Neurospora crassa OR74A: one gene and its partners. The protein of the gene in region 1 purifies or fractionates together with the protein of each later gene. This does not show direct contact. Links are inferred from orthologs where the notes say so. Each region holds a gene or a part of one and is shown in the gene's direction. Other genes may lie near its edges.

The links.
Region 2: the proteins of NCU04439 (region 1) and NCU03702 purify together in Saccharomyces cerevisiae (affinity purification with mass spectrometry, with the first as the bait; 4 studies listed by BioGRID). This does not show direct contact. The link is inferred for Neurospora crassa OR74A from reciprocal best matches to the Saccharomyces cerevisiae genes HCA4 and NOP1.
Region 3: the proteins of NCU04439 (region 1) and NCU06943 purify together in Saccharomyces cerevisiae (affinity purification with mass spectrometry, with the first as the bait; 4 studies listed by BioGRID). This does not show direct contact. The link is inferred for Neurospora crassa OR74A from reciprocal best matches to the Saccharomyces cerevisiae genes HCA4 and NOP56.

What each region holds. Positions count from the first base shown.
Region 1 is NC_026504.1:3,351,075-3,361,118, forward strand, and holds NCU04439 (ATP-dependent RNA helicase dbp-4), read left to right. Parts: upstream 1-4,927; 5' UTR 4,928-5,048; coding exon 5,049-5,195; intron 5,196-5,272; coding exon 5,273-7,597; 3' UTR 7,598-7,732; downstream 7,733-10,044. Other genes in the region: NCU04440 (hypothetical protein), read left to right, coding at 1,218-4,277; NCU04438 (hypothetical protein), read left to right, coding at 9,834-9,863, 9,947-10,044. UniProt on the Saccharomyces cerevisiae protein: ATP-dependent RNA helicase required for ribosome biogenesis. Involved in the release of U14 snoRNA in pre-ribosomal complexes. Required for pre-rRNA cleavage at site A2.
Region 2 is NC_026505.1:2,133,803-2,144,039, reverse strand, and holds NCU03702 (rRNA methyltransferase NOP1), read left to right. Parts: upstream 1-1,793; 5' UTR 1,794-2,080; coding exon 2,081-2,195; intron 2,196-2,431; coding exon 2,432-2,492; intron 2,493-2,554; coding exon 2,555-2,789; intron 2,790-2,850; coding exon 2,851-3,176; intron 3,177-3,234; coding exon 3,235-3,401; intron 3,402-3,462; coding exon 3,463-3,530; 3' UTR 3,531-4,346; downstream 4,347-10,237. Other genes in the region: NCU03703 (60S ribosomal protein L17), read right to left, coding at 498-653, 746-933, 1,136-1,349, 1,538-1,540.
Region 3 is NC_026507.1:845,686-856,045, reverse strand, and holds NCU06943 (SIK1), read left to right. Parts: upstream 1-4,729; 5' UTR 4,730-5,304; coding exon 5,305-5,474; intron 5,475-5,659; coding exon 5,660-7,055; 3' UTR 7,056-7,467; downstream 7,468-10,360. Other genes in the region: NCU06944 (hypothetical protein), read right to left, coding at 1-242, 305-2,553; NCU06942 (vacuolar protein sorting-associated protein VPS4), read right to left, coding at 7,829-8,050, 8,161-8,611, 8,689-9,341; NCU06941 (prefoldin subunit 6), read left to right, coding at 10,208-10,271, 10,326-10,360. UniProt on the Saccharomyces cerevisiae protein: Required for 60S ribosomal subunit synthesis.

The sequences.
Region 1 (10,044 bases):
GTCCGTTTGCGAATGGATGCATGCATTGTCAATAACAACAACAACATCAACAACATCCCTACTTACCCCAGAGACATCGCTGTAGCAAAGTAATAATCATCTTCTGATTCACTTCCGCCGGGCCCCCTTTGCTCAGCGCTTTTCTGTCTTCATGCTGGACAAGCCACGATCTCAACCTCAAAACATTGAATGAAAAAAAAGTGAAGCAAAAGTCAATTGTTCCCCAACATCCACGACGTATCCACAATTTCTGTCAGGAAAAAAAAAAGATTCCCAGCGTTAGAAGGCTTTCGCTCAAGTCTCCTTTGATCGCTGCTGCAGCCTAGCATCGCGTCGGTGCCATCAATCGAAGCCACGCGTGCCGAGTCTGCAAGGGAACGCTGCACATCATCGCCGAGGACCCGACTACCCGACTTTTCACTGCGTTCAGCGAGGAGGTTGGGTTACTTTTCTTCAGGTCTCCCTCGCGTCGGATCTGTTGGCGCAATTGACCAACGGTATCGAGTAATCACCTTGGGCATCCGTAGGGCTCTTCAGCAGTTTCACCTTGATTGGAGGCGGGTGCCACGTGTTGCGCGCCTCGCAAATAGCAAAAGTCTGGTTGCCGTTCAGTCGCAGTCGCAGTCGCAGGGCGAAGGCGCATCAACATATCGCAACCACCCGAAGATCAACCTCCAATATACAGACCGGCGGCGGCTTCGTTGTCTGGCTGGTCTGGACAGGAGGACGCTCACCCAAGCAAAATCGGCCTGCAGCGGCAGCCTCACAAAAAGAACCCCAAGAGCCACCTCACGGCTCTGCATTTCGGCCCAGCCTCTTAACACCCATCGATTCGTTGTTACTAGCAACTCGTCTTCAAAAGACTTGGGCGGCATCTTAGTCGTCTAGTCCGACATTTAAATGTGAGTTTGGATCGCCCCATGCACATGCTCTAACCGCGGCTCTTGTTTTTCTTTTTTCAATTCGCCTATAGTCTTCAACATTTCTGTAACGGCTCTCAATTTTGGGATCTTTTTCCTCAGTAGCACATTGTTTCCAACCGTCTCTGTTCATTGCGACAACATTGTGTCATAGGAAAAAGAAGAACATCAGTTGTTCACATTTTGGATTTTATAACGCCTTCTAACACTATGGACAGTTCATATTCCAATCACTGGTCCCACGTTGACCTCGCGTTTCACGACGTTAACAATCTTTTCACAAAATCCACGGCAACCATGCCTCCTAGACGGATAACGCGGAGGTCGGCGGTGTCACCTTCGCCTGCCCTTTCCGATATAGGCACGCCAAAGCCTGGAAAGCGCGGGACTTTGATTCCTGTTAAGCAGGTCAGGAATCAAACGCCCACCAGATTCAGTCTCAGTTATGGCTCCTCACTGGTGGCTATGCCAGACAGGAACAAAACCGCTGCAGGTACTGATCTCGAAACGGCCTTCGCCGAGATACACGAAACTGTCAGGACCGACAATATCAAGGCTGAGGCTCGCCGTCGAGAGCTTGATGCGCGTAGGGGTAGCACAACTCCTGGCCCCAGACGCCCTGACCCAATTGAGGAAGAAACCGAAGAGGAGGAGGAAGAGGATGAGGAGGTGCAGGAAGAGAAGGAAGAAGACGATGACGACAACCAAGGTGGCTACTACAATGACGAGGAAGAAGAGGAACCCGCACCAGACCCGCCCCGGCGTGCTACGAAACCAGTCCAAACTCTCAACAAGCTACAAGATCAGATTGAGAAGGCAAAGCTACTAGAAAAGCAAAGGGCGGAGGAGAGAGCAGCGGAAGAAAGGGAGAAAGCGGAGAAGGACGCTGCGGAGAGAGAGAGGAAGAGGTTGGAGAAAGACAAGAAGGACAAAGAAGAGAGGGAAAAGAGGGACAAGGCTGAGAGAGAAAAGAAGGAACAGGCCGCGAAAGCTCAGCAAGAAGCCAAAGTAAAGGCTGCGCGTGAGGCCCAAGAACGAGCCGAACGAGAAGTCAAGAAACGAGCACGCGACGAGGAGGACCAGAAACAGGCCGAGCTGGAACGTGCCGAACGAAATGCTCGGCTAAACCGTGAGCGTTCTGAAGATGCGCGGCGTCAAGCCGAACAGAAGCACGCAGCAGAGGCTGCGCGTAAAAAGGAAGAGCAACGCCAAGCTCGAGAGGCAAGCGAAGCAGAGATGGCAAGCCTGGAGGAAGCAAAGAGGCAGGCTATGCGACCACCCCCTCCACCTTCCAAACAACTGCTTTCAACACCACCTACTTCCAGGACAAGGGAACTTGTGGTACCCGATACCGGCAACAGCTACGTGGAGGAAAGCGATGTCTACACGGACTCGGAAAAGATGAGGGAAGTGCTCGAAGAAGAGGTGCGAATGGCTCAACAAAAGCGATTAGCCCGATATACCCCAGAGCCTCCAGAACCACCCAGAATCGCAAGGCGACCAGCGTCAACCCTCTCCAATTCTCTCCAACCTCCTTCCCATCAAGTCGATCAACACCAAGACTTGTTCGACACAGAGGCGAAATCCATGTCTGACAAACAGTATCCGTCCTTTGGCAAGGTGTCCAAGCCCACAGCTGCAAGACCAAACCAAACATCCAGGCCGCGAGCCGAACAGTCAAATACCACCAACGTGGAAACACCGCCTCCTCCGTATACTACTGCTCCTCCTACCTTCGTGCAACGATTACTGAGTTTGATTCGCCGTTCGACATGGGGCGTGTGGAAGCTGTTCACATTCCTTGTACCAGTGCTCCTCATCGGTCTGATAGTCTTAACCGCGTCTTCTTATGGTTCGCCGGATGCGAATACCAGCATCCGATGGTATGGCTGGAAGCACTGGAGGAGCAACGTCGGGCAGTTCATCCCCAGTCATCCGCAGCTAACGGATGATCAGTTTAATGACTTGAAGGACTTTATCCTTGAACAATCTTCTTCTACGGAGAGTGCTGTCAAAAACATCCAAACTCTTCTTCCCCGGATGGTGCACGTTAAACGTGGTCCAAACGGCGATCTCATCATTCAGGACGATTTTTGGCATGCTCTTCTGGATAAGATGCTCAAGGACAGCTCGGTTCTCACGCTTGACGGCACTGGTGACATTTCCGAAGAGCATTGGGACGCACTACGGCCGCGCCTCATCAAAGCCGGACTTTTCGAGAAGGGCCCATCGGATGAGCATATCTTGCAGATTGCTGAAGGCACTGTTTCCAAATCTTGGGAACGTTGGGTAACCAAGAACGGGGAAAAGGTTGCCCAGGTTGTCAAGGAGCATCTACCAGGCGACAAAGGCGATGGGGTCACGCGTGACGCAGCCATCAGCCGAGATGAGTTTGTGGGCCTCTTGAAGAAAAGGATTGCAGAACACAAGGAGGAGATTGATGGTCAATTGGATTCCGTCAAGAAAGGGCTTGAGACACTCATCGACACTACGGTCAAGGCGGCCATCTCCAACTCCGAAGGCAGTCTTTCCAAGTCCGAAATCACCACCTTGGTTAGGAATATTGTCAAGAAGGAGATTCCTCGGGCGCAACTTGAAGCAGCCGCTAAGGACGGCATCATGCGCAACTACCACGACTACGTTGAAACTCAAGTCAATCATTTCGGCCTGGGCAATGAAGCTGGTATCGTCTTGTCGGAATCATCCCCCGTATACCGACTTGAGTCGCAAGCACTGCCAGGCAACAAGCACCTCAGCAAACTGCTCGGCAAGCCGAAGCCCATTTCGAGCAAGGATAAGGTCACCCTGGAAGCAGAATACATGCTGGCGCTCTCTGCCTGGAACGACGTTGGCCAGTGCTGGTGCGCTGGCATCTCAGCCAGCAGGGGGGCCGAGCTCGCCGTGGAGATGGCCAAACATGTCATTCCCCAAGCCATCGTCGTTGAGCACGTCCATCCGAACGCGACGAATGACCCTGGGTCCATGCCCAAAGACATTGAGATTTGGGGATACTATCCGGACGCGGACGACAACAAGCGACTCCTGGCTTGGATGGACGAGTTGTACCCTGGCGAGCGCGAAGCTGACATGAAGATGGTCGACGCAAACAACAAAAAATCGCTGTCCCTCATCAACAGAAAATACGTCAAGATCGGCGAGCTGGAGTACGACTATGCCAAGACCAGCGGTAGCCACGGCATGTTTGTCCACAAGCTGTCGGAGGAGTTGCTCGATCTGGATGCGGCGACGTACAAGGTGGTCGTCAGAGCCAAGACGAACCATGGAGCCCTGGATCATACATGCATTTACCGCCTGAAACTGTTTGGGGAGGAATTAGAGTACGAGGGCGAGGAATAACAGGATTGATAATGGGTATCTGGGCGACGGATCTTGAGCTACCGAATACGTATTGAAGGGAAAAGCAAGGAAATTGGGAATGGGGCAAGGCGTTTTGGTCCTTTTTTTTTTTTTTATCGCTTTCAACTTTGGGAAACGTACATATGGGTGGGTCTAGTGGGTTGGTTTTATTGCGGGTGTCTACCTACGAAGGAATCATGTGAGCGAGCGATACCCGTCTTCAAGCTCATTTTTTTCGTGGTTCAATACATTATGCTTTCATGATAGTTTGGCTCTTTTCATTGCTCAGGCACGGTGTTGATGTTCGAATGTTGCTGTTCTAAGTGAAACATGTAGATTGCTGAAGTTGTGGGCGCTGAGATAAAACCACTACAATTCGAATTTGGTTCGATGCAAAAGCTACTGTGAATTTTCTACTTCAGCCCCGTACAACTGCCCATCCAACCCATCATGAACCATAGCAACGACTTGAGAATGTCACTGGGGGCTGACAACTCGATGGTCGTCTGTCTGCTCGTATGACCCTAACCCTGGTCTGAGCTGGCCGCGAGTCCGAGACCCCTGCTGCAGATCCCCTCGCTTACAGTGGATGAGGTGGGTCGAGCTGGCAGAATTGCTCTCCGCCAAAAGTTTTCCCATTCGCATCGAACTGAAAGGCCACCAGCGACGACCCGCAGGCAATTGGATTCGCTCGACTAGCAGACCCGACCTTTGGAACTTCGTCGAACCCACCACGCCCAATTTCCAGCACGTTCAGACGATACAAACACAATGGCTCCAGGAGGCCCCAAAGGCCGCGGTGGCAAGGGCAAAGCCGAGAAGGAGAGGTCCAAAGCCAACAAGGCCGAACACAAGACGTTGAAGAGGAAAAGAGAGTTGGAGAACCTCGAGGCGCTTCAGAAGAGAATCGACGAACTTGTAAGTCCTAGTACTGAACCCCCGTTTCTCACCATACAACCGCACACGCTTCTAAATATTGTGTCTCAATCTACTAGGACCCCAAATCCACCGAACTCAACAAGTTCTCGGACCTTCCCCTTTGCGAACCTACCGCCTCTGGACTACGCGCATCCCATTTCGAGGTCCTAACCGATGTCCAACGCGCCGCCATCCCTCTCGCGCTCAAAGGGCAAGATATCCTCGGCGCTGCTAGGACAGGTAGCGGCAAGACCCTCGCCTTCCTTGTTCCCGTCCTCGAGAAGCTATACCGTGCACGATGGACTGAGTACGACGGTCTCGGTGCCCTCATTATCAGCCCGACCCGTGAATTGGCCGTCCAAATATTTGAAGTTCTCAGGAAGATTGGTCGCAACCACAGCTTTTCGGCAGGCTTGGTCATTGGTGGAAAGAGCTTGAAGGAGGAGGCGGAGCGTCTTGGGCGCATGAATATCCTCGTCTGCACACCTGGCCGTATGCTGCAGCATCTCGACCAAACGGCCGGCTTCGATGTCGACAACCTCCAGATGCTCGTGCTTGATGAGGCCGACCGCATCATGGACATGGGTTTCCAACAGGCCGTTGACGCTCTTGTTGAGCATCTTCCCAAGAGCAGGCAGACCCTGCTGTTTAGCGCCACACAAAGCAAGCGTGTCTCGGACCTTGCCCGGTTGAGCTTGAAGGACCCCGAATACGTCTCTGTTCACGAAGCCGCAGCATCGGCGACCCCCGTCGGCCTCCAACAGCATTACATCGTCACACCTCTCCCTGAGAAGCTCGACACGCTATGGGGCTTCCTACGAACGAACCTCAAGAGCAAGATTATTGTGTTTATGTCCTCCGGCAAGCAGGTCAGATTCGTCTACGAAAGTTTTAAGCGGATGCAGCCCGGTATTCCACTACTACATTTGCATGGTCGCCAAAAACAAATAGCACGTCTCGAGATCACGAACCGGTTCACGTCCGCGAAATACTCCTGCCTCTTCGCCACCGATGTCGTGGCCAGAGGTGTCGATTTCCCCGCCGTTGACTGGGTCATCCAGGTCGATTGCCCTGAAGATGCCGACACCTACATCCATCGCGTCGGCAGAACGGCGCGTTACGAGAGCAAGGGCCGCGCCGTCTTGTTCCTCGACCCCAGCGAAGAAGAGGGTTTCCTTAAGCGTCTCGAGCACAAGAAGGTGACCGTCCAGAAAGTGAACGTCAAAGAAAACAAGAAGAAGAGCATCAAGAACGAACTACAGTCACAGTGTTTCCAGTCACCCGATCTCAAATACCTCGGACAGAAGGCTTTCGTCTCGTACGTCCGTTCGATTTACCTGCAAAAGGATAAGGAGGTGTTCAAGTTCGACAAACTCGACCTCGACGGTTTTGCTTCCAGCCTGGGTCTCCCAGGTACTCCACAGATCAGATACCAGAAGGGCGAGGACGTCAAGAAGCTCAAGAATGCCTCGCGCGCCGCCATGTCCAGCGGGTCCGACACCGAAGGCTCGGACGGCGAGATCCGCAAGAAGAAGAAGGAGGTCAGGACAAAGTACGACAAGATGGCCGAGCGTCAAAACCAGGACGTCTTGTCGACGCATTACCGCAAGCTTCTCGGAGAAGATCAGGCAGAAGACAACGAGGAAGACGACTTCCTCTCGGTCAAGCGCGTGCTGGACGACGATGCCGCCCTCGACGACGCCGCCGGCAATGCCAAGTCCGGCACCAACCCCGACGGCACGGCCAAGGTGGTCAAGCTGGGCAAGAACGCCGAGTTGGTCATCGACTCGCACCGTCGCGAGAAGCTGCTCAAGTCCAAGAAGAAGCTGCTCAAGTACATGGAGAAGGGCCAGAAGCTTGTGTTTGACGACGAAGGAAACGCCCACCCGCTCTACCAGCTGCAAGACGAGGAGGACTTCCAGAAGGAGGGCGACGCCAAGGAGCTCAGGCAGAAGTTCGTCGAGAGCGAAGCCACCAAGGTCAAGGAGCAGGATGTCGAAGACAAGCTGCTGGCCAAGCAGCGGAGGAAGGAGAAGAGGGAGCGCGCCAAGGCAAGGGAGAGGGGAGAGGAGGTCGAGAGGGAGAAGGGTCCCCTGCAGCCGGCGCTGCTGGACGCGCACAGCGATGTGGAGGAGGATCCTTTGGCTTTGCTCAGAAGTTTGCCTGTTGCTGGCAAGGGCGGTGACAGCGGTGACGAGAGCGAGGACGATAGGGAACCGCCTAAGAAGAAGGCTAAGAAGTGGTTCCAGAAGGATGACTCGGATACGGAGTATAGCGATGACGGCAGGCCGAGGAGGAAGAAGGCTAAGATGGAGGGCGGCAGGAAGGTCATTGAGATGGATCATGAGCCGGATAACTTGCAGGATTTGGAGGCTTTGGCCGCTGGCTTGTTGGAGGATTGATGAGTTGGTTTTCAATGTTGGTGTTGGTGTGGGAAAAGGAGAGATATCGGGGTTCGTCATCCAATCATGGATGTTTACATACGTATTTTGCGATAGTTTTAGACTTGTTATGATACCTAAACCACGTATTTTGACAAAAGGGTCGGTCCCATGCCACTATGCTCCCTTCGTGTAGAATACATTTCCAGCTCCAGTCTCTATCCATCCTTTCCCAGCAGCTTGCGGCGAGATTTCGGGGTACTGTAAGGCTGGACGAAGCATTTCGTAAGTTTCTGAAGCATGTCTCTCGCTCCTTCCAGCACAGGACAGCACCCCGGACACTCGGATGGATGGCTGCTTCCGTTTTCGCCTTCGTCAATCATTTGTGGATGAAGGAGCAGGCCAGAACCTGGAAGAGAAGTCAAGGTGTCAAATTTGATACTTCGATCATCCCCATCTGAGGCGGGATTGATCTGTTTCTGTCGTTCGTTACCTCTCATTTATTGAAAGTTTGAAAATGCTCTACCTTCTCTTTGTGTCCTCTTTTCCTCTGAAATCATTTTTTTCGTAGGCGAAACTGTGAGGTAACCCAGCTATCTCTCCGCACTCGTGGGAACATGCCTTTTCTTCCAAGTGATTCGCAACAACAGCGGGCTGGTTAATGTCAACCCTGGGTGTCAGCTACACTGGCCGTTCCGTCGCACCACCTATCCTTCAAGGGGGAAAAAAATAATCGATAAACATGATGGTGTTGTATGACATTTACAAGTAGCAATGTCGGCACAGCATATGTAAGGCTCAAGCCTCAGATCAAGCAGTTCGGAGTAAGTTAAGTATCAACACTCTTGCTAGGGAACCCATATGATGATATTTCGTCCCTTGAATTATTTGCACACTCTCTGCAAGAGACTGGTTGTTGTCTAGGTAGGTATCTGATCAAAGCCATCTCGTTCAAGGCATCTGCCTGAGGTCCGTAGCGGGGAATAGGAGAAATGGAGAGTTAAGGTGCTTCCCCTCGACTGACGGGAGGCTTGTGTCAAACGAACGACGGGACGAGATGCAAGCATCCATGATATAGCCCCTTCACGATAAGATGCCGCGTTTGTTGCGATCAGTCTTTTACACACCCACACACCCCTTGGTAAGGCTGTCTGATGTTTTCCTGGACAGCAATTATCGCCGTCAACAGATGTTCGAGATGACTGGTACAGCTTCATCTTACTTGTAAATGCTCCTCTGTCTGTCTTCCGCACACCAGCACGCTTTTTAGCACATTTCCAATTCCGCAAAGACTCGGGCCATTGATTTTCAACTTCTCTGGAAATCAGGCATCATCGGAGATACTTATCCATACCTTATCACATCAGTTGGACCAAGCCGAGTCAAGTTTTCTACTGCCTTCAAGTACTTGATACGTTCTCATCAAGGCACAAAGTTAACGTTGAAACTCCGTACCTTGGCGTCTATTGACCGGCACTCCCTCCTAGAAAAGTAGGCTGGCTTGAATTCCGGTTGTCATCTTTTATTACCACTTTACAATCATGTGCCTTTTCCGTAGTCATATTTGCGCGTCCATCAAGATCAGCTGCAGATTCTAACATTCAGCAGGTTTTCCACGCAGGGTTGAGCGAGTCCTCCGGCTGTCTGCTTGTTTGTACTGCTCGTTGGCACTTGCATACTGCGTGCTATGCCAAATCCCATTGGATGAGGTACCTAGAGGTACTTGATGATAGCGTCACCATCCAAGTCCTCTGCTTCCCTGCCCACTCGTACTTATAAGATGTTTCTGCAAAACGACGTGTGCCCTCTTCGGCCCCTCACCTCAGCTTTGTCATCCAGAAGCCTGCTTGCGGAGATACAATTACATTTACCAAGGCGCCAGCTGGCCTAAACTTCTTTTCCCTCATTGAGATTGACCATGACTACTCTTACCGTCGAGACACGATCGCAAACTGAAAAGCTAGCCTCCAGCAAGACTGAGGCCGTCCAAATCGAGACCGTACAGATAGAGTGTGTCGTCTGCACAGAGACGAAAGACTTTCTTCATTTTCCATTGTCGAAACTCTCTACTGATTGTCAACACGCGATGCGTGTCTGCGTCGAATGTGTTCGTTTGAGCATCACGGCGGATCTCAAAAACAAGCCCTGGCAGGACATCAATTGTCCGGAGTGTAACAACCGTCTCGATGCGGATGTTGTTCTACGTTACGCCAGCCCGGAGAAACGGGCGAAGTATGAAGATTTTCTAACTAAGAACATGCTGGAAAGCCAAGAAGGCTTCAGGTGGGTAAGTTAATGGCTCCCATCGGAACTACCTAGATTTCCCTAGCTCGGCAGCAATCGATAGCTGACCGTTCCGTACTCCAACAGTGTACAGAGCCAAGTTGTGGCAGCGGCCACATTCACGAAGGCGGGTACAGCCAGCCCATCATGAAGTGTCCCAATGGACACTTGTCATGCTACGTCCA
Region 2 (10,237 bases), on another chromosome or scaffold:
CATCGGTGGATTTCATACAAAAGGGTTATGATATCATAACAGCCACGACTGTCCAATACCCAAGATACCCCCAGTGGCGAAACCTCAATAGCAGCTGTATTTGCTCAAGCATCACTTCTCACGCAGCAAAGGGGGCACATCCAACTGAACTCGGGGATGCTGGATTGGGTATCGTTTCGGGAAGGCTAGCTACCTGAACATCATGCGGCTCTGCATCAGGGGCAGACAGGTACGTCACAGCCACTCTCAGAGCTCAGGTAACCCGCAGTTCGGTTTGGCGTCCCGTTGGCAATTACGCCAGGGCTTGAATGATTACTTGTTTCGCCGTGTCATGCTTTCTCAAATTCTTTTATTGAGTATTCATGATCGACCCCTTTTTCCCTGGAATCGTGACCTTGACCCGAAAAATGCCATGCTCGCGTACACCGTTCCGGAAAAAAAGTGAAGCCCTCAATCAAAACATCCCCTCGTCCAATCACCTAGCTATCAAAGCGCATTTAAGCGGCAGTGATGGCACGGCGGACGCGAGCGCCACGCTGGCGGGAGGAAAGGTGAGCCTCCTCGCGGACAACGGCCTCGGACTTCTGGACGACCTCATCGGCCTCAGTGAGGATGAGCTCGATGTGGCAGGGGTTGGACATGTAGGGGTTGATCTAAAACATAACTGTTAGCCAATGACCGGCTTGATCGTCTATCTGCCGGCGCAGAAGCAGAAATCAGGGGGGTATCTCCGGGTTTGACGTACGCGACCGTGAGCGCGGTAAGTGCGGCGGCGCTGCTTGGGGGCCTGGTTGACCTGGATGTGCTTGACAACGAGGTTGCCAGTGTCAAGACCCTTGGCATCGGCGTTGGCCTCAGCGTTCTTGAGGAGACCGAGAAGGAACTCGGCGGACTTGGCGGGCCAGCGGGCGCGGGAAACACCGAACTGCTTGCCTATATGACGAAGAAACGGTCAGCACCGTGTCTTCTATGTCCTCCATTCGATTGCGGTTTCGTGTCGGTCGGTCGCGGTTCCATCATGCTGACAATGCCCCCCTATTCCCCCGCCACTTTGTCCTCCCCACTGTCGTCGTCGTCGTCGCATGATGTACCGGTTCGGGTGTGTTTGTGCATGTAAATATCGAGTAAGTCGTACCTTGGGCGGCGCGGCCGGTGCCACCAGCGTAGCGTCTCATGGGGACAGCCTCCTTCTTCTCAAGAACGTTCTCGAGGAACTTCTGAGCACGCTGGAGCTTCCAGCCATTGATGGCCTGGGCGGTCTCACGGGTGTTCTTGAAGGAGACACGGAGGTAAGAGCCGCGCGAGCGGGCGGACTTAGCCGGGGCAATCTCAGTCGCAGCGTACCGAACCTGCGATTTTGAACAAGACTCGGTCAGCGATTCCCTCTCCTCCAAGTGCTCGCAATGCTCGCAAAGCCGTCATTGTCGTCCGTTGAGACTTTCGTCGTCATTTCGGCTGCAGAAGCCCGAAAACTGTCCTGAAGCAAAATAACGGCGGCGATTCTCTCGTTCGGCGGATTTCGCAGGGATTTACTCACCATCTTGCCTGCTTGTCGATGAGAGGACGGGGAATCGACCAAGTGTGATGTTCAGAGGTGGTGATGGGTTCCAATTTTGGCGTACAAAAACCGATTTTCGCGATTAGGGCTCTGTGGGCACTGCGCAGGTGGCTCGTGCGGACCGTCACTTTGCCTGAGGCACGTGCACGCGGGGACAGTAAGTGCTAGCGCCGATAACAGCCTGCCTCCTGGACTGCCGGCCGTGCACGATAGCATCCGCAACAAACTGGAGAGCCTCGACCGCCACGCCAGGACGACAGCCAATTGCAAAGGCAGAAGGCCTCGACCGGAAAAAAAAGTGCTCCAGCGATGAGACTTCGTGCCCCGCTTTTTTTTCTTTCAATCCATGTCCAGGAAATTTTGCACCCAGCTCCAGCAAAAGCTCTTTTCCGAGTCCTCGACAGCGCCGCGCGACAACTCTAAACCCATTGTGCCTCGCACGACTGATCTTACAACGCGTTTCGGCCCAGAATCGCAACTCATACCGACTCCGACTTATCAATACCGACACATTCTATAAAAATGGGCTTCGAGCGTGGTGGCAGAGGCGGCGCCCGTGGCGGTGGTCGTGGTGGATTCGGTGGTGATCGTGGTGGCAGAGGCGGCGCCCGTGGCGGTAGCCGTGGTGGCTTCGGTGGTGAGTTTGGCCTCAATGCCATCGCCTGAATGGTCTTTGCGGTTATGTCGTTGCTTCTGTTCGTCATCTTGAGAGATGTCTCTGCGTCTGCTGCGGCCCGTGGTCGCCATGCATGCCTCTTGACTTCTCGTAGTAGGATGGCGATTTCAGTCGAACTTCATATCGCAACTCGACTCAACATGCGATGGCAACAGCAACCACATTAACGCAACACTTTACTGACAATGACTTAACAGGCGGCCGTGGTGGTGGTGCTCCCCGTGGTCGTGGCGGTCCTCGCGGTGGTGGCCGTGGCGGGTACGTCTTGTGTTCAAAACCCTTGATTACTCCAAAGACATTGACTGACATTATGAGTATAGTGCTACCCGTGGTCGCGGTGGTGCCCGCGGTGGCGCCAAGGGTGGTGCTGCTGGCAAGAAGGTCATCGTCGAGCCTCACCGTCACAAGGGCGTCTTCGTCGCTCGTGGTGGTAAGGAGGATCTCCTCGCTACCGTCAACCTTGTCCCTGGCGAGTCCGTCTATGGCGAGAAGAGAATCTCTGTCGAGAACGCCTCTAAGGAGGAAGGTGGTGCTTCCACCAAGACTGAGTACCGCGTACGTTTTCCAGGCTTTCCAGCTTGTGGCCTCAGACAAAGACTAACATTGGACTTTGCAGATTTGGAACCCTTTCCGTTCGAAGCTTGCTGCCGGTATCCTCGGTGGTCTTGAAACCATCTATATGAAGCCTGGTTCCAAGGTCCTCTACCTCGGTGCTGCCTCCGGTACCTCGGTCTCTCACGTTGCCGATATCGTCGGTCCTACTGGTTCCGTTTACGCCGTCGAGTTCTCTCACCGTTCCGGCCGTGACCTCATCAACATGGCTACTCGCCGCACCAACGTCATCCCCATCGTTGAGGATGCCCGTAAGCCCATGGCTTACCGCATGCTGCTCCCCATGGTCGATGTCATCTTCGCCGATGTTGCCCAGCCCGATCAGGCCAGGTAAGCCGACTTATACAGATCCTTGACACTGTATGTGCCTGACACTAACACATTTCAGAATTGTCGGCATCAACGCCAAGCTCTTCTTGAAGCAGGGTGGTGGTCTTCTCATCTCTATCAAGGCTTCTTGCATTGACTCCACTGCTCCTCCCGAGCAGGTCTTCGCCTCTGAGGTCCAGAAGCTCCGTGAGGACAAGTTTTTCCCCAAGGAGCAGTTGACTCTTGGTACGTCCATCCGCTTCCCTTTTGGTTGATAGAGCCAACAATAACTAACAATCACCCACAGAGCCTTACGAGCGTGACCACGCCATGGTTTCTTGCGTCTACCAGCAGAAGGAGTTCGTCGATAACTGAGTTTCGAATTAGTACTGTTCTATCTTCGTTGCTCTGTTCTGGAACCTTCACATAATTCGGTGTTCTACTGGCAGGATGGTTTTGTAAATCTGGAACGGCGAATGGCGTTTGGGTATCTGCCTTGTTTTAGCATTGTGGGAATAAAGCACCAGGGTTCTTAGACTGATATCCGGAGTGACCCCGGTTGCTTCCATCTTACGCCGCCTTTCACGATCTCGTCACGACTCCTAAGTCACCGCGCAACGAACCTCCTGTTCACCAGCGAAATTGGCCAGCCTACAACACATCAAGAACGATCACCAGTCAATCACCCTAAGAACGAGAAGGGCGCTGGATAGTCAAGCAGAGGTTGCTTTTATCGGCGCTTAAAATGCTCGACAGCTTGGTTCGTCTTTATGGCGTTTGAAATCTGCGAACTGAGAGTCCCTCCCCTTTCATCAGGGTATCACGTCGAAAACTGAGACTATTCTGGCCATTCGAGTTTCAAAGGAGATTGTTTGGGCCTGGGGACGCAAGGGTACTGCAAGCCAGTCATTACATGGCTTTGAGGATTATTTAAACATGCCTAGAGTCTATCCAGGATCAAGAGGATGCTGGGCCGTTGGTTTCGCTTGTTGATGAGCAAATTTGAGCTTGCTTAGTCCTATAGATTTACATATCAGAGTTTTGGGTCATCTTTGCTCCTTATCATCGGCCTTGTCGGCGGTCTTGTTACTTCTTGAGCTTATTGTTTGTTGCTTTATTCGATGCTGGATATGCTCTGATCTATGATTTGCATGCTATCTAGCTCTTCGATATCTCACCCCATTGCCTCTACACCTTCCCCGTACTAAGCGCTCTTGCACCGCTGAAAATCTTATCTTCTTGGCTCGTTTGCTTGCGGCGTTGATCAGAGCTGACAAAGTAACTCAGGCGACAACATATCCCGGGACGAGACGCGCAGCGTTAATGGAGAGTACGGACAGTGTAAGTGTGATCCGTTACCGGGTACTAAGCCAAAGTACCTCTACAACTTGTGGCCCAAGCCAGGCTAAAGGATATATAATTACTATGGTCCCGGGGATATCTTGGTCGACGAGTATCGAAGCCAAGGTTGGCCGTGAGCAAGCCTACGGGGGTGAGGGCTGAATCAATTACGTGAAGTTATCCCTCCCCTTGTCTGGTACCTATGTTCTTTGTCATGATGGGGTACCGAGGAACTCTAACACACCCAGCATGATGCAGATCGGCTTACTCTCATGAACAGTTCATGTTGTTCTTGTTACGTTTCCCAAGGGTATCTCTTTGCAAGGTTGGGGCTCTCATGAAAGACGATTGAGAGTCTACCTGTGAAATCCTTACTTGAGCCTTCTTTCACCTGTCGACACGAGCAGTGGCACTTCACTGAATGAGTATCCCACTAATTGTCTCCCAAGTCGTTCGAAGAGGACCCAGTCCTCAAATCCGTCTGTCCGCGATTTAGTTCGCGCAACAAAACTCACGACTTAACCAAAGACAGTAACTACATGAGGCGCGCGCCTGGTAGGCGACCACCTTTTCTGGGATCTCTTAGCTGCACCTAAAAGGGGTAAAGTCCCAAGAAGCAATCGACCATCAGGATTGGCGCCTTTCGAAGCGGTTAAGCAGGAGGAGGCTTTTTCGTCGGCGACAAACCAAACCCGGCTTACTCTTGGCACATATCTCGTCAGTGGCTTTTGCTTCTCTCACACTCCCGTTGATGATCATGACGATGATTGGCGTTATACGATCGACCACCTTAGGTGTCAATCCTTCGGTTCTTTCTGTAGTTGTCGGTCCAGACACGAAGAACGACTTGCATCGTGAGTGGTGAACGAGGTCTGCAAATGGACGAATGCCAGACCGATGTACGCTTTTCTTTCCATGCGTACCTTCCTCAATCTTAGCCAAGTGGGAAAAATGAATGGATGGCCAACTACCAGCTACGTGTTGTCAAGACATTCCCTTGCGTCCTGTCCAAGGGAGATGGACTTGGCCTTGGCCTGCCTGAAGTATTCTCATCTCAGACGTAGTCGGCCCTGGATTTGCGGAAGCGATGAGGTGAATTGTTGAATGGCGGCAAGGACGGGTTGGACGAATCATAGCATTTACAGTAGGCATTACTTGGAACTCGAGCAGATATCGGAATAGTAAGCCCATATGGATATCTCATACAGGGAAGTGATCAAACCTGGTGATGTACATACTTATCCCCTATTGGCCCCCATGACTCCGTCGGCATTTACCACACGTTCTTCACACTTGGCGTAAAGCATTGCTTATACGAGACAAACTTAAACGCCATATAACGGAGTTTACTCTTGCTCGTTGTCGGATGGTGGCCATTTCATCCTCTTGTGCAGATCATTCGCAAATGCCGTTCGTAAAAGTTGAGCTCTTCACTTGTGATTACTACACTTTTTACGTCTTGCTTAACCTGTCCCACCTGATTTTTTGTTGGAAGGTGGTAGGCATACTCCGTAATTACCAATGACTGATTGTTCCTTCCTCATCAATCATCATCGGTTCGGCAATCGTAGGTCGTTGCTCCTCCAAGAAAGCAAAAGGCTGAAGTTCAGTTTACACGGGAGAAAGAAACATCGCCACTGGGCCCGGGCATGAGAGACGCGCGACTACACCTCACGATAATGGCTGATTAGGTTCTACCCTCACAAGGCCAGGATGGCTGGTGTCTATCCTGGTTAGGACTGAAGTACACAAATCGCACACATTTTGTTTCACCGCGGCACGGCAGCTGCAAGGCAAACGAATGCGGCAAAAATAAGCGGAAAGAGCGTGCTGATTTGGGATCCAAAGGTATGATCTGATCGAGTGATGTGCAAGAAGTACCCAAGACTTTGGTGATCCGGGGAAGGAGCCAGATGATACATACTTACATAATACGTATCTTACCTATCCGGTCCATGGGGTTTAGACTCGAGGATGCGGGGTGGCAAGGGTCCAAAGAGGTCCAGATCTTCCTTTGACACTATTCTCAATCTTGCGTGACTTTGACTTGTTCCGGGTATACCTTTGGAGATTGGTATGATTGCTTGCGGGATAGGCTTATCGGACCAATACATATAACCTCAAGCCCTGGTTATGGTCAAAATCCTCGTTCGGCAGGGGCATGGTCTTGTTCCAACTGAACTATAGACGACTAACACCACTAGGATCTTAGCCAGGATTCGGAAATCCGCACCTCGTGGACATCTGACCGACCGAGCTAATCAAGGGCCGCCTCCGAAAAATATTCCTTTACCATGCTCCTCCTCGAACTTGCTCCGAGCCTATTACAATCAGACCAGTTCAAGTGCAGATTTTTTTTTGTTTTTTTATTTATTTTTTTTCCTGTTGGAAACGTAAACACACTATGTTAGGTGTTGTGGTGACTTGTATTGGTTCAGTTGGACCCTTCAACCTTGAAACCGTCCGCCCAATCTCATTCCTCCAAAGTACTTGACTGAACCGAAACGGTCTCAACTCCGCAATTGTGGCTTGCGCATAGCAGGCACAACACTAGCTTCGAAACCTCGTTTAAGAAACCATTCGGGAATGAGCCCGAACAAGACACAGACGTTGAGACTAGATATACACTGCACTAGGTAGTATAAAATGGTAAAGTGTACGATGGCCGGCAAAAGAAAAGAAGCTATCGGCTGTTAATGGTCTGGCCCGGGCCAAAGTACACCCATACATACCATGAACGTCTGGCCAGACTGCAGTGAACTGGAGTGTCCCACTGCCTCCCCTTTCCAGAAATGGTGGTGGCGCGGGGGGAGGGGACTACCGAACCATCCAGCTGGGAACCGAAAACTCGTGTGAATGCGAGCGCCCAGACTGCGCTCAGGATTTAGCATCGATACATACTGCAAGGTCGGACAGGCCTACGTGGGCTTCGCCTCATCTGTCCTTGTCCTTGTCCCTGCCTTTAGTTCCTGGGACCCCTATCGGTCTACATATCTGGATGGGACCCTGAATAGTGGCGCATAGATCGATAGAGGAAAATGGTACATCTCCGGGATCATCAGAGTTGTAATGGCCTGATGGAGATCTCTTGTCCCTCGTTTAGGTTTACAAGTGTACAACAGGATATCGTGATACGAACGAGGGCGAGATGAAGACGTCACTCGTTGAAAACAGTTGTCCAAATCGAACCGATGTGTATAGAGTCATGCATCTCGTCCCGGGAAATTGGGTCCCATCGTTTGTACGACCGGGATGCTCAGCATCCGGTATGTCAGTGAAAGGAGTGCTGCTAGAAATATCCTTTTGTGCCCAGGTGTTGCTTGCTAAGCCGTTTGGAAGAGGGCCTATGGTATGTTGAAGAAGAAAGTTTGATCGGTGGCCCCCCGGTGTGACTATGCAATGAGGCCTCATTCTGTGGCTCGATCGAGGGCGTACAGAGTCGGGACGTCATGCTGACATTCCGGATATCTTGTGTGTTGAAGAGTACAGTAAGCATCACGGGTGCTTGCCGAAAAGTATTGCTACCTATTCCGCTATGTACGAGTGTCTTCGGTGTGTCCCTGGCTTGTGAGATGTACCTAGCTACCTCTATTTCTTTCCATTCATTGGTGCTTCGCTGGAAACCTCAACTATTGGGGGAAGGATGACACAAGAGCCAGACAAGTTTCTGACAAAGGGTATTCGAGCCTCTCGATGGTGCATGGGATTTTCTGATGTCGAGCACGTATGAGAAAAGAGAGAAAAAAAAAAAAAAAAAAGAAGGAAAATAGAAAAGGGAAAAATGAAAAAGAAAAAGGAAAGGGGTACGCTTCAGTTAAGGAAGCAATACGGAATTTCAGTGGGTCATTTTTGCGACATCCCGATGGGTCTGGGAGACCGCTTTCACTCTTGGGGCGTCCGGAGACGGCAGACATCTCTTTGCCTTAATTCTATACCGAGAGTGGCACGATTCTCGATTTCGAGTATCCAGAAGTGGGGAGGAAGTATTAACTTATGTGAAGGAGGGGCGCCATCGGTTCACCGTGAACGGCAGCCGACATCATGATGGATAGTCCCGTGTTGATAGTGATGAGAAGACCGAGCCGTCCAGTAGTCTAAGCACTCATGGCATCATGGAAGCCAACAAGCTTTTCCATGTCTTCTTTGCTGCGATTTTCTGTTACCCTCTCTGGAGGCCGGCCTTCCACAAACGGGTAGAGCACCGAAAGGTTAAAGCTCAAATCAGTCATGTCTCCGGGAGTGGCCCGTGGTAGGGACGGGCGGCGCCGGGGGCGGAGGCGTGGAGGGACGGGACGATGGTACCCAACAGTCAACGTCGCAACCGGCGAGGCCGAATGGAGTGACGAGAGAAGCGCGCCAGAAGTGACGACCAAAAGTAACACCTAAAGTGTGATGTCTTCTAAGAGTCTTCCGCCCACTTTGGCCCAATGGAGAGTACTGGCATCGCTCACCGTGGATGGCGAGGAAAATTCCCAGGGTCGTATTTGTTGCACAACGCACTTGAGATTGAGAGCCAGTGTCAGTATCGTTTGACGCGCAAGATATCACTTGTCCTCTTGTGTTGCTGAGTTCCCCGAGGGAGAGTTTGACGGGTCGGAGCACACTTCCACTTCCGAATAACATGCCATCCCGTCGGTGTTGATGAGTGTCTCCAGGATGATCGCCGTACATCCCGTCCATCCTGCACCAGACTTTTGTTCAAATAAATTAATTGATTCGGGGCCTGAGCACAAGGAACCGTGGTATTGGTTACGGAACCCTTGCAGCGATCTGATCGTCCAAATATAGGAACCGATGCACACAATGTACGTATGAAGACTTCCATTCTTATGTGGTAGACTTGATGGTAGGCTTTGGAAATCAAGGCAATAGGGTTGGGAAGTCTCTGGTTACCTACCTTACGACCCCCTTATTGCTCATGGTGGTGTACTGGGTTACTACTGTCAAGTTTGAAAAAGGTCGCTTGCAGTTTGTGCGACATGGACTTGCAACAAATAGAACTTGTCCAATGTCGACTTCAAGAGATCCAAGGTTGTATATTGTCACAGGGAGGGTACACTTGCACACGTGACTGGTATGCCGCCTTTGCAGCCAGCAATTTTCTTTGCTTCACGCTGAACGCGACTGGACTCTTTAATGGCAATTATGCGCTGAATCGAGGATATCTGGCGACTTTCACAAAGGCGTTGGACGGCGGGATGTCATTATTTGGTTGTATGTCAAATTCGAAATGGAAGTCGTTGCTGCAATGCTGCGATTGTGGCTGGTGCCGGCGCTATGTACACTAACACAAATAGACTCCACTCAAAGCACCAACAAAGGGGCCACAGCGCTACAGGTCTTATCGCGATGAGCTTCAGGCTACCTAGGCAGCAAAGGTACCTATCGATGTACCTTCACTGCGTACGTACAGTACGTACCTAGGTACCCATCCCCATTCCCTTCCCCTCCCCCCCGGAGCGTCACATTTCTTCAGATTTTCCACTTTCTCATTCCGCACTTCCACTTGTTCGTCACAGCCTTGCAACCCAGAAGACCCCACCTGCCATTGCATCAGGGCAATGCAAGCAAGCCTAGTCTGCGTCCTGATAAGCACCAATCTTGTCTGGTTTTCACGGTCGGCGAGAGCCCCGGATCGTCATTCGGAAACTTTCGAACCTCACCGACACAGCATGGGCCCCGGGAGAGTGGGGGTCCGGCAGCCGGGGGAGAGTGGAATCGCGCTAAGTGTTGTGCCGGTG
Region 3 (10,360 bases), on another chromosome or scaffold:
CGTTGGGGAACAGCAGTCGATAAATCTCTCTCCATTTTTCTTCGTCGCTTTGGCGCCGATATGTATGTTTTCTGGACTTGAGCTGCCGTTCTTGTGACGTAGTAATGTCTCCAGGCGGTTTGACGTCGAGGAGTTCGCAAGCTTCTGGGGCCATCTCGTGAATCGTGAGCTGTCTCGCATCGCTGAAAGTTTGCTTGCACCGTTGACAATGGATCTTGTAGTGTCTCCGATATAGATGCTCCCTATAAAGAGTGTTAGCGACGTATCATGCATGGCGCGAGGGCTAGGGGTCGTGGTTGCTTACTTTAACCTTGGAATGGTTGGCCAGTCCTTGTTGGCGCAAATATCATAATCCACGCGGTTGTACTTTTCTGGATTGTGCTTACGGAACGGGCAAGCAAATCTCTTCGATGTTGCGGACCCAGGCCTGGAAGCATAAGGCGAGAGCTGACTACCGTCATCATCGTCGTCATCGTCATCGTCATCGGAGGTCCGCCGTGAACTCGGAGGTCGAAGGCTTCCGTCCGGCTTTCGCCGAGACGGTGTGGCTTTTCTCGCTCGATATGGATCCATTCTGTCGGTGTTGCTGCTCCCTGCACTTCCGACACATGATCTGATTAATGCATCCCAGTTGTGGTTATACTGGGACCAAAGTCGTTGTAGCGCCATGTTGATGGCCTGCTGATACGCTTTGCTCCAAGCTCTACTGTTGTCATCGCCGATGTTGTGTTCTGCCCAAAGATCTGGGTCAGAGAGACTGTCATCTGAGACATGTTCACTAGTGCTATCATCGTGGGTCGAGAATCCTTTCCTGGTAATATCAGATCGCATGCTTGAGACAGACGGTGACCCAATGGAAGAGCGGCTCCCTGGCTTCGAAACAAGCAGCCAGTCCTTGCGAACGACGTTATTCATGGGAGCAGATTTAAGCACAGCATCTGAAAGAGAGGGTTGCTGACTGGCCTCAACGCCATGTTCCACAGATACTGCAATTGGGGCTCTGGTGTAATTTGAGGCCAAAGCAGTCCGTGGACGTTGGAGATCTTCCCCTCGGACCAAGTCCACAGTTCCAGGTTTGAGAGCATCAAGACGTCTATCGCTATCTATCCGACGTAGCCCTTTTCGTATTGGTGATGGAGTCGATTTCGTGTGTAAAAATGCATTGGTCATTGTCACAGGAGAAGGAGCGCTCTCTGTGGTGTTGGGCGAGTTTGTGTGATGCGGTGCAATGTCCGTTTCTCGATCCTGGCTTGCCTTGGATAATTGGGTGCGAGCGTAGGGGTCCCAAGCGGGACTTAGTCCAGATTCGACGACAGTTGCTTGCGAAAGAAACGCTGCAGTAGAAATTGCCCCCGCGAATGACACGGGAAATGAAGATTCAGCCGGTACAGGATTGTCGGAGTTTTTAGTACTGATTTGGGGCGCGGACTGCTCGAGGTTTAGGTAGCTCATTCCATCAACTCGAGGTGAAGTGATGTCACCTGGACTCTCCGGCAACGGGCGCAAGCCATGAGAGTAGTACGCCTTGACGAGACTATTGACGTTCTGTTCGGTTCTAATTTGAGCCGTGTCAAAGGCATATTGCGCGATGTACTGGGGGTCCGAAGAGCTGTTTGCAAAGAACTCAAGTATGTCTTGCAACCGAGAGGGATTGCGGGCGTCGTCAGCCTCCGTGGCCGCGTGTCGTCCGGTCGCCTGTTCATCCCACGTAAAATGCAACCTGGTACCTCGATCCCGCTCTTGGTTCGTAACCAGGCGGTCCCATGCTTCCGCTATCTTTGGCTGTTTTAGAAGGCCACGAATCACAGAGGAGTGCTGCCAATGGGCTCTTTGCATGCCTTCTTCGCAGTGCCGGCCGACGTGATCTAGGTAGTCAGGACGCGACTGCACGAAGGCACCGCAGAATCCACATCCCCAAGCACCTCTTGTCGGTAGCTTGACTATGTGTTGAGTCGTTGGGGAAGAAGAAAGATTGTGAACATCTCGACAATGGGATGCAAGAGATGGTCGTTCAGAGAAAGAATCGTGGCAAATGGAGCACAAATGCTCCTCGGGTCTGTCGTGATCCCTGAGTTCGTGATCCCTCCACTGGCCGGGACACGCAAACATGGCGTCGCAGAATGTGCAATGATAGCGAGGTGGGTAGTCATCGGTGTTGAAGCCGTCATCGCATTTCCCAGAACTACAAGGTGTTGCAGACATATTAGGATCCGCCGAGTCCACGGAGTGTTGTCGAACCGAATATCGTGAGTATGCCGTCGAGGCAGTTGAGATTCTTAGGCCAGCAGTCGAAAAGATGCTGGGAGCAGCTGAGCTCCGTCTAGATGTCGAGGCAAGCGAGGCGCGGGAGTGTTTGCTGATGAGATCATGATCGTAAGTCGGAAAGTAGTCGGTCTCTTGCCAGATGTTGTCGGTATGTGTCTCGGAATATGGGTTTTCCTTGGATGTAGTAGTCGGCACCTGATACGAAAAAGCATCAATCTCCCCGACGGCATAGCTGGTGAATCCTTCTCTCACACGGTCCACCTTTGGCTGATGGTGATTCAGAGCCATGAAGAGGATTTGGACGGTATTGGGCAGGTGTATGGTTTCTGTTAGACCACAAAGATATAAGCCAAGAGTATCAGTCTGTGCAGAATCCCGTGAGAAGAAGAAGCCAGGAAACGGGTTACCTCCAGATAGACCTTGTTCAAGAAGGGGTCTTGTTCTTATTTATTGAAGCTCTAGGGGTGTCAGATCATGTTTTGTATCCAGATCTATGCTCATTCGACCAATTGATGAAGTGGATTCACGAACTGGCTGCGCACAGGGCTGTGCAAGACCTTGTGGGGGTAGTGAGATCAAGAGGCTCTCAAGCGCCGACGTGATCCGGGTAGAAGTAACCAAGCTATCGGGAGACGGACCGGTTCCTGGAGGAGGCGGTGCTTTCATTTCCTATGCCGGCCTCTAGGGTGACGCGGAGAGACGGTAGTATCATGTCAGAACAAGGCGAAGTCGCGGTCCTTGATGATGGTTTCGTGGGGTGTGCCGGCGCGGAGCTCGTAGACTGGCCATTGTTCCAAGTCCAGGGTAAGTTAGCGAATAGACTAGGCTTGGCAAGGTACGTAAGGATGGGGTTATGTCGTACGGAGATGCCGCTGTATAGCGACGTAACCCGGAGGGCATAAGGCTGAATCAATGGGGACGGATAGACAGACACTGCAGAGTACCTCTTTGACAGTCTCTTGGCTTGGAAGGTCGGTGTAGATGGAAGCTCATCGCAGCTGCGCACTGTTCAGGCCTCGACTGGGGCATCCAATGGCGTCTAGGAGATGGTGGAGGGTAGTATCAGCGCTGTTCCTTGTGCATGTCGAGTACCGATTTGATATATTGGTCAGATAGGTCGGGTACATATTCTCGTTCACAGCTCCACGACACGTTTGCTTGGTTGATGTTGATGCCCCTAATTCGAAAGCCACGGATCTCGCGCTTCGAGCTACATGAGCTACGTATGAGCGTGAGGCAAGCTGCTCGCCCGAAGAGCCATCATGATACAAACGACGGAAACAAATCACCACGCCAAATACCACCATGGACTTGGCATCACTTGAACTGTCGGAAGAGACTGGATCGACTGAGGTACTGTGTAGTATCGTGATGGTGTCGTCGACGCTGCGAGACCCAAAATGGAAATGATAGGTACACAGCGGCACCACATCCATGCAACGGGCCGGAATGGTGCGCCATCGAAACCCGTACGCTTCTGATGCGCTGAAGAACGGGAGCATTGGGGCAATTTGGGGGTGTCGTGCATGCTGTAGGGCTCTTCCGCCACTGTACATACTGTATCATCCCTCGAAGACCCGGAGTTGGTGTCGCTGATTGGATGTCCGGCTGGACGGAACCGTTTCACGACCAATCCCGCAGAAGCCAGAGAAGGCATTCCCAGATTGCGACGCCTGTGATCATCCAGACAACGGCCATTATAGGATGTGAAACCGATGATGAGCGACATGCTTTGAACACAATGGAATAATCAAAGCATCCCAAGTCTTGTCTTGTTGTTGTTGTTGTTGTTTCTGCCACGCCCTGACGAGAACATCAACGTCGTAGTAGACGATGCGTTGAATGTCCTGAGACCGGGCAGTCGATAATGCTGGCCTGAGTCATCGGGCGGTCCGGTCACTTCAGTTGGTAATCCCTTCATGGACGCCGGGTCTTGCTTGGGAATGCGAAGCGGTCGACACTTGTGACAACCCAAGTCCGAGGTGGGCATGTTGACATGAGGTGGCAGAGGGGAGCCCGAAAGAGAGAACTGAAGTACACCAGTTTGTGAGGCGAGAAGCGAGAGAACCCGTGACCAACGCCTTCACATTTCTCGATCTGACTGCATATCGTGTCTCGTGTGAGCAGACATGACGCCAACAAACAACATGGGATGGCATGTGTCTCGGTCGACGACAAAGGAGTATGTGTTTGCATATTGGCACGAAAACGACCGAATAAGTAAGGGGATTGTGGCATTGCCGCAATGGAAAGAAGAACAAGGATTCATCATGAATCATCCGTCTCGCTGCTTTCCGAATGGAAATGGAAAACCGTAAAAGGATCGATGAAGGACGGACTGTTACCGACACCGCCAAACAGTCCAAGCCTCAATCTCTCCCATTGTGCAGGTCAGACATGCAGATCGAGCCCATAGGGCTGATGTGAGTGAGGGAACTCGACCATTGGCCAAATGATATGCGATCTGGTTGAGTTCGATGCAAAGAGTCAGTCAGGTGTGGTGAGTGGGTGTGGGTGAATGGGGCAGCAAAATGTCCCGTGTCAGTGTGGGAGGTAGGACGACGACGAGGACCCGACTGTCAGACAGACAAGAGGCCAGGCACACGGACAGCTGTCGCTCAGCTGGCAAGACTCTTCTTATCCGAATTCTTATCGACACGAAAATCCAAAGGAGTTTCGCACAATTGCTGCTGCCATTGGTTGCTAAGCCTTCCCAGCTTACAGCGCTCCAACGGGCCAATGGGGTGGCCAATGCGGCGTGAATTGGGGTAGGCAGAATCCCCACCCCGCATGGCTGTGGCCCGTGCTTCGTCCTGAGCTTGCCGCAAAAATTTCGAAAAAACTTGTCCAGGGCAAAAGTGGCAGAGCAAAAAAATATCCAAACACAGCGCCGTTCTGATTCCCGGAGACCGAAGACTGAGTTCATGCACCGGTGGCATTGAACGACGCCCAATTGCGCACAACACTCCAATCCCAGCGCACCCGGTTACCCAGTCACCCATCAATCCAGAGTCATCATACGACAACATCACCGCTAAGATGGCCAACGTCAACTATCTTCTGTTCGAAAGCGCGGTCGGCTTCTCGCTCTTCGAGGTCGTCCACCAGGCCGACACTGTCGGCTTGGAGCTGCCCGAGGTCAAGGATGCCATGAAGGATCTCGACAAGTTCGGCAAGATGGTGAAGCTCCGCAGCTTCAACCCTTGGAAGTAGGTGGCCAGAAGCAAAAGCATTGTGTGGTTTTGGAGTTGGTGTTTCGGGTTGAGGTGGTTGTGGTGATTTCATGGTCATGTGGTGGTGGTGGTGGTGGTGGTGATGATGTTGGGAGGGACAGAAACATTGTGTGAATTGCTTGTCTTGGCTGAACCATAAACTAACGTTCCTTAACCTCCAGCTCTGCCGCCCACGGTCTCGAGGCCATCAACCTCATCTCCGAGGGTATCATGCCCGACCACCTCAAGAACACCCTCGAACTCAACCTCCCCCAGACCAGCGGAAAGAAGAGCAAGATCGTCCTCGGTGTCGTCGACAAGAGGCTCGCTGGTGAAATTAGCGGAAACTTCCCCGGTATTCAGTGCGAGGCTGCCGATACCTCCGAGGTCGTCGCTGCCCTCCTTCGCGGCATCCGCACCCACGCCGGCAAGCTCCTCAAGGGCCTCCAGGACGGTGACATCAACCGCGCCCAGCTCGGTCTCGGTCACGCCTACTCCCGCGCCAAGGTCAAGTTCTCCGTCCACAAGAACGACAACCACATCATCCAGGGTATCGCGACCCTCGATGCCCTCGACAAGGGTATCAACTCCGGCGCCATGCGCGTGAGGGAGTGGTACGGCTGGCACTTCCCTGAGCTTATTCGCATCGTCTCCGACAACGGCACCTACGCCAAGGTCGTTCTCGCTGTCGGCAACAAGAAGTCTCTCAGCGACGAGTCCCTCGACGAGCTCGCCAACGTCCTTAACCAGGACGAGGACAAGGCCAAGGCCATCATCCAGGCCGCCAAGGTCTCCATGGGTCAGGACATCAGCGATATGGATCTCAACATGGTCAAGGACCTCGCGGACAACGTCTCCAAGATGGCCGACTACCGCCGCATCCTCGCCGAGTCGCTCGACAAGAAGATGGGCGAGGTCGCTCCTAACCTGCAGGTCATCCTCGGCACCCCCGTTGCCGCCCGCCTCATCTCGCACGCCGGCTCCCTCACCAACCTCGCCAAGTACCCCGCTTCTACCCTCCAGATCCTCGGTGCCGAGAAGGCCCTCTTCCGCGCTCTCAAGACCAAGGGCGCCACCCCCAAGTACGGTCTCCTCTACCAGAGCACCTTCATTGGCCGCGCCGGTCCCAAGGTCAAGGGTCGCATCTCCCGCTACCTCGCCAACAAGTGCTCCATTGCCTCCCGTATCGACAACTTCTCTGAGAACCCCACTAAGCGCTTTGGTGAGGTTATGCGTGAGCAGCTTGAGCAGCGTCTGGAGTGGTACGCCAAGGGCATCAAGCCCATGAAGAACACCGAGGCCATGGACAAGGCCATCAAGCTCGTCATGGACGACGAGGGTGACATGGACATTGACACCGAGATGGTCGACTCGCACACCGCCACCCACGCCGCCGACTCCAAGAAGGACAAGAAGGAGAAGAAGGACAAGAAGAAGGACAAGGAGGAGAAGAAGGAGAAGAAGGACAAGAAGGACAAGAAGAGGAAAGCGACTAGCGAAGACGTCGAGATGGTAGACGCCCCCGACGCTGCGGAACCCGAGAAGAAGAAGAAGAAGAAGAAGTCGAAGTCTGAGTAAAAAGACCGAAAGAAAAAGAGCCAAAAAGCAGCGTCACCACTTGTGTCTTTTTCACGATTTTTACTTTTTTTCTTCGTCATCTTGTTTAGAGCTTCTCGTCGCGTTTTTTGGCACGTCGTTCTTGTTGGTTCGCTCTGTTGTCGTTGTTATCCTCGGGAGTTTCTTATAATGTATGGGGTATGGGTCAAATCTGGTACAAAGGAGTTTTACGGGTCTACTTGTTTCTTGCAAGAATCATAAATAGTTCGTCGTTGTCGTCATTCACATCTCTTGCCATCTACGACTGATCATAGAGGGGTAGCGCAAAAAAGTTGAAAAGGATGTGCGTGTGTACTAGCATCATACCCATGGAGCATCATATGGCGGCGATATGGGTAAAAACAAAGGCTCATTAAACGAAACGGAACGTACGTCTAAAAGTACCTGGTTGATGTGAAGTGTCATGAATCTATGTACTCTTCCAATATCGCATGATTGCAAAACGCCCATCGACACTCCATCTTCCCCTGATTTTCTCGCTAGAATAATATCGTCATCATCAAGTCTTCGTAGTAAACATGTGCCTTGCCGCATGCAATGTGCTGCCAAGATAGAAAAAGGGGCTTGCAAGACTCTTAACCCCAAAGTAAAAAGTACCTAAAACATCCAGATACCCGCCGCCCTCTGTATACCACTCCTTCGCTTTCCATGGGAGAAACACCAAAGAACAAGAATAAACCGCACGGAACGAACCATTGACCACACCCGCCCCCCACACTGTGGCAGGCATCTCTCTACGCACCCTCACTACCAAACTCCTTTGTCCATTCCTCATTCCTCTTGAGATCCTCGCCCGACACAGTCGGCCTGCTGGCCTTGATGGCCTTGATAAAGTCCTTCTTGTCGACAAATGGTTCGAGCAGCTCGTCCGAGGGTACCTGCTCCCACGTCATTTCGATGGCGTCCGGATCGCCTGGCGAGCAGGGCGTGAGCATTTGTTTGCCTTCGTGGACGACCTGTTTTTTGTAGTAACAAAAGTTAACAATCTCGCATCATGAATAGAGGTAGAAGTAGGGGTTGAGGGTCAGGGATGGGAGAGAAAAGAGAAAAACAAAAAAGAACGAACCTTTTTGAAATGCGTAGCCTGCTGAATCTTCCTCACCGGTTGCATCAACGCATCCTGCACAACAATACTGATATCCGAACCCGAATAACCCTCCGCCGCGCGCGCCAGCTCGCGGAAGTCTTCCGCCTTGAGCGCCGTGTGGGTGTCGCCCACAGCCAGCCGGAACATGGTGGTGCGCGCCGCCAGGTCCGGCAGAGTGATGTGCACGCGGCGCTGGAAGCGGCGACGGATAGCAGCATCCAGCTGCCAGGGGATGTTGGTGGCGCCCAGGATCAGCACGCCCTTGCTGTCTTTGCCGACACCGTCCATTTGGACCAAAAGTTCGGTTTTTATCCTGCGCGAGGCTTCCGACTCGCCTTCACCGCGCGGACCGCAGAGGGCGTCGATCTCGTCGATGAAGATAATGGAGGGCTTGTTTTCTCGGGCCATGGCGAAGAGTTGCTTTACTAGACTGTTTTTTGTTGGAAAATCGTTAGCTTCTCAGTCACGATAGTGGCATAAGGACAGAGACAACAGGACAAAACATACCGTTCACTCTCACCCATCCACTTGCTCACCAAATCCGAGCTGCTCACGCTGAAGAACGTGCTCTTCGCCTCTGTCGCCACTGCCTTGGCCAAATAACTCTTTCCTGTTCCCGGTGGGCCATACAGCAAAATACCCTTCCACGGCTGCCTCTTCCCCTGGAACAGATGCGGGAACTTGATTGGCAACAAGACCGCCTCCTTGAGGGCCTCCTTGGCACCCTCTAGACCAGCCACATCATCCCAGCTGATGTTCGGCCGTTCCTGCAGAATCGCGCCCGCCAACGCACTTCTCAGCTTCTTGCTATCCTCATCCAACGCTTCTCCATTGCCATTACCGTCCTCCCCGGCCTCCTTCCCCTTCCCCGTCCCGCCCGTCGAACCCCCGTTCGCGCCCACCATCCCGGGCTTCTTCCGCTTCGCTTCCGCGTCCGCCAGGTGCGCTTTGAGCTTCTCGGCCCGGTCCATGTACTCGCCCGTCTTGGCCCGGATCATCTCCTTGGATTTCGGGTTCTTCTCCCATTTTAGGGCGAGCATGAAGAGTTCGAGCGATTGGTAGTACAGCTGGTAGGCTTTGTCGTACTGGGCGGCGTTGTCGGCTTCGATGGCTTTGCGCACTTGCTCGATGGCGCGGCCGAGGAAGTCGGTATTGGACATTTTGTGCGGCGGCGGCTCGAAGCGTGTAAAGTGATGTCGCGTGAATTCGTGGTTTAGTCGAGTGTAGGATTGGTCGCTCTTCTTGGTACGCCGTAGTAAGCGTTTGTAGTCGTTATACTTGTTTGCTTCTTCGCTCGGACAAGGAGAGTTTGTTGATATTCGCGCGCCGAGGTTCGAAGTCAATGTCAACAGATGGCCATATGCGAGGGAGGAGACCCGTTGATGACGACTGCTGTTGTCCTAGGCTACGGCAACGAGAGTGGCAGAGATAAGGTGAAGAGAAATCGGGAATTGGTCGTATCTTGCGGGCGTCACCTGGCAACGACTACGGCAAGACTGTCTTCTGGCACAAAAAAGTTGGTGTCGCGCCCTGGTCTGAGGTGGAATTGGAGAGGGGAAGATCGTTGGTGGTCTTGTCCATATCTTGGTTAGTTTCAAGCAACGAGGTCGACTTGTCTTGGCCGTTGACCTGGAAGCGCTAGCGTAGCGCGGGGTCCTGTTATGGTTCCCGGCCTGGGGGCCACTGACGCCACTTGTTTGCGCGTGGAGAGAGCGCTGGTCTGGGGCTGTTAGTACTTTGCTTGAGGATACACTCCTGCACTAACAGCTAAAGCTTGGGCACTGACTTTGGGATCTGCTCAGCTCACCCCTGACGATTGACTGCACAGCGAGCTCAGTTCCCCGGAATAGAAACCTCCAAATTCCCCATACTGGAGCTCATCTGTGTTTCTTGTTCCTGCATTTTGATCCATCATCTTCCCTCCCTCACTGTGTCCAAACCCTTTTTCAGTTTTCGAACGTCATCGCCTAGTAACTTTTCAGCATAACCCTGTCTCTCACTTCACATCACCCTCAAAGAAGCAGCCATGGCCAGCCCCCTCCAACTAAAGCTCCAAGCTCTCTCTGATGAGTATCAAAACCTGAACAAAGGTGAGCCCCCCTTATGATGATATCCCCGTAGTTCATTCACTAACTGTACCTCAGAACTCCAAGAGACTGTTCTCGCCAGACAGAAGCTC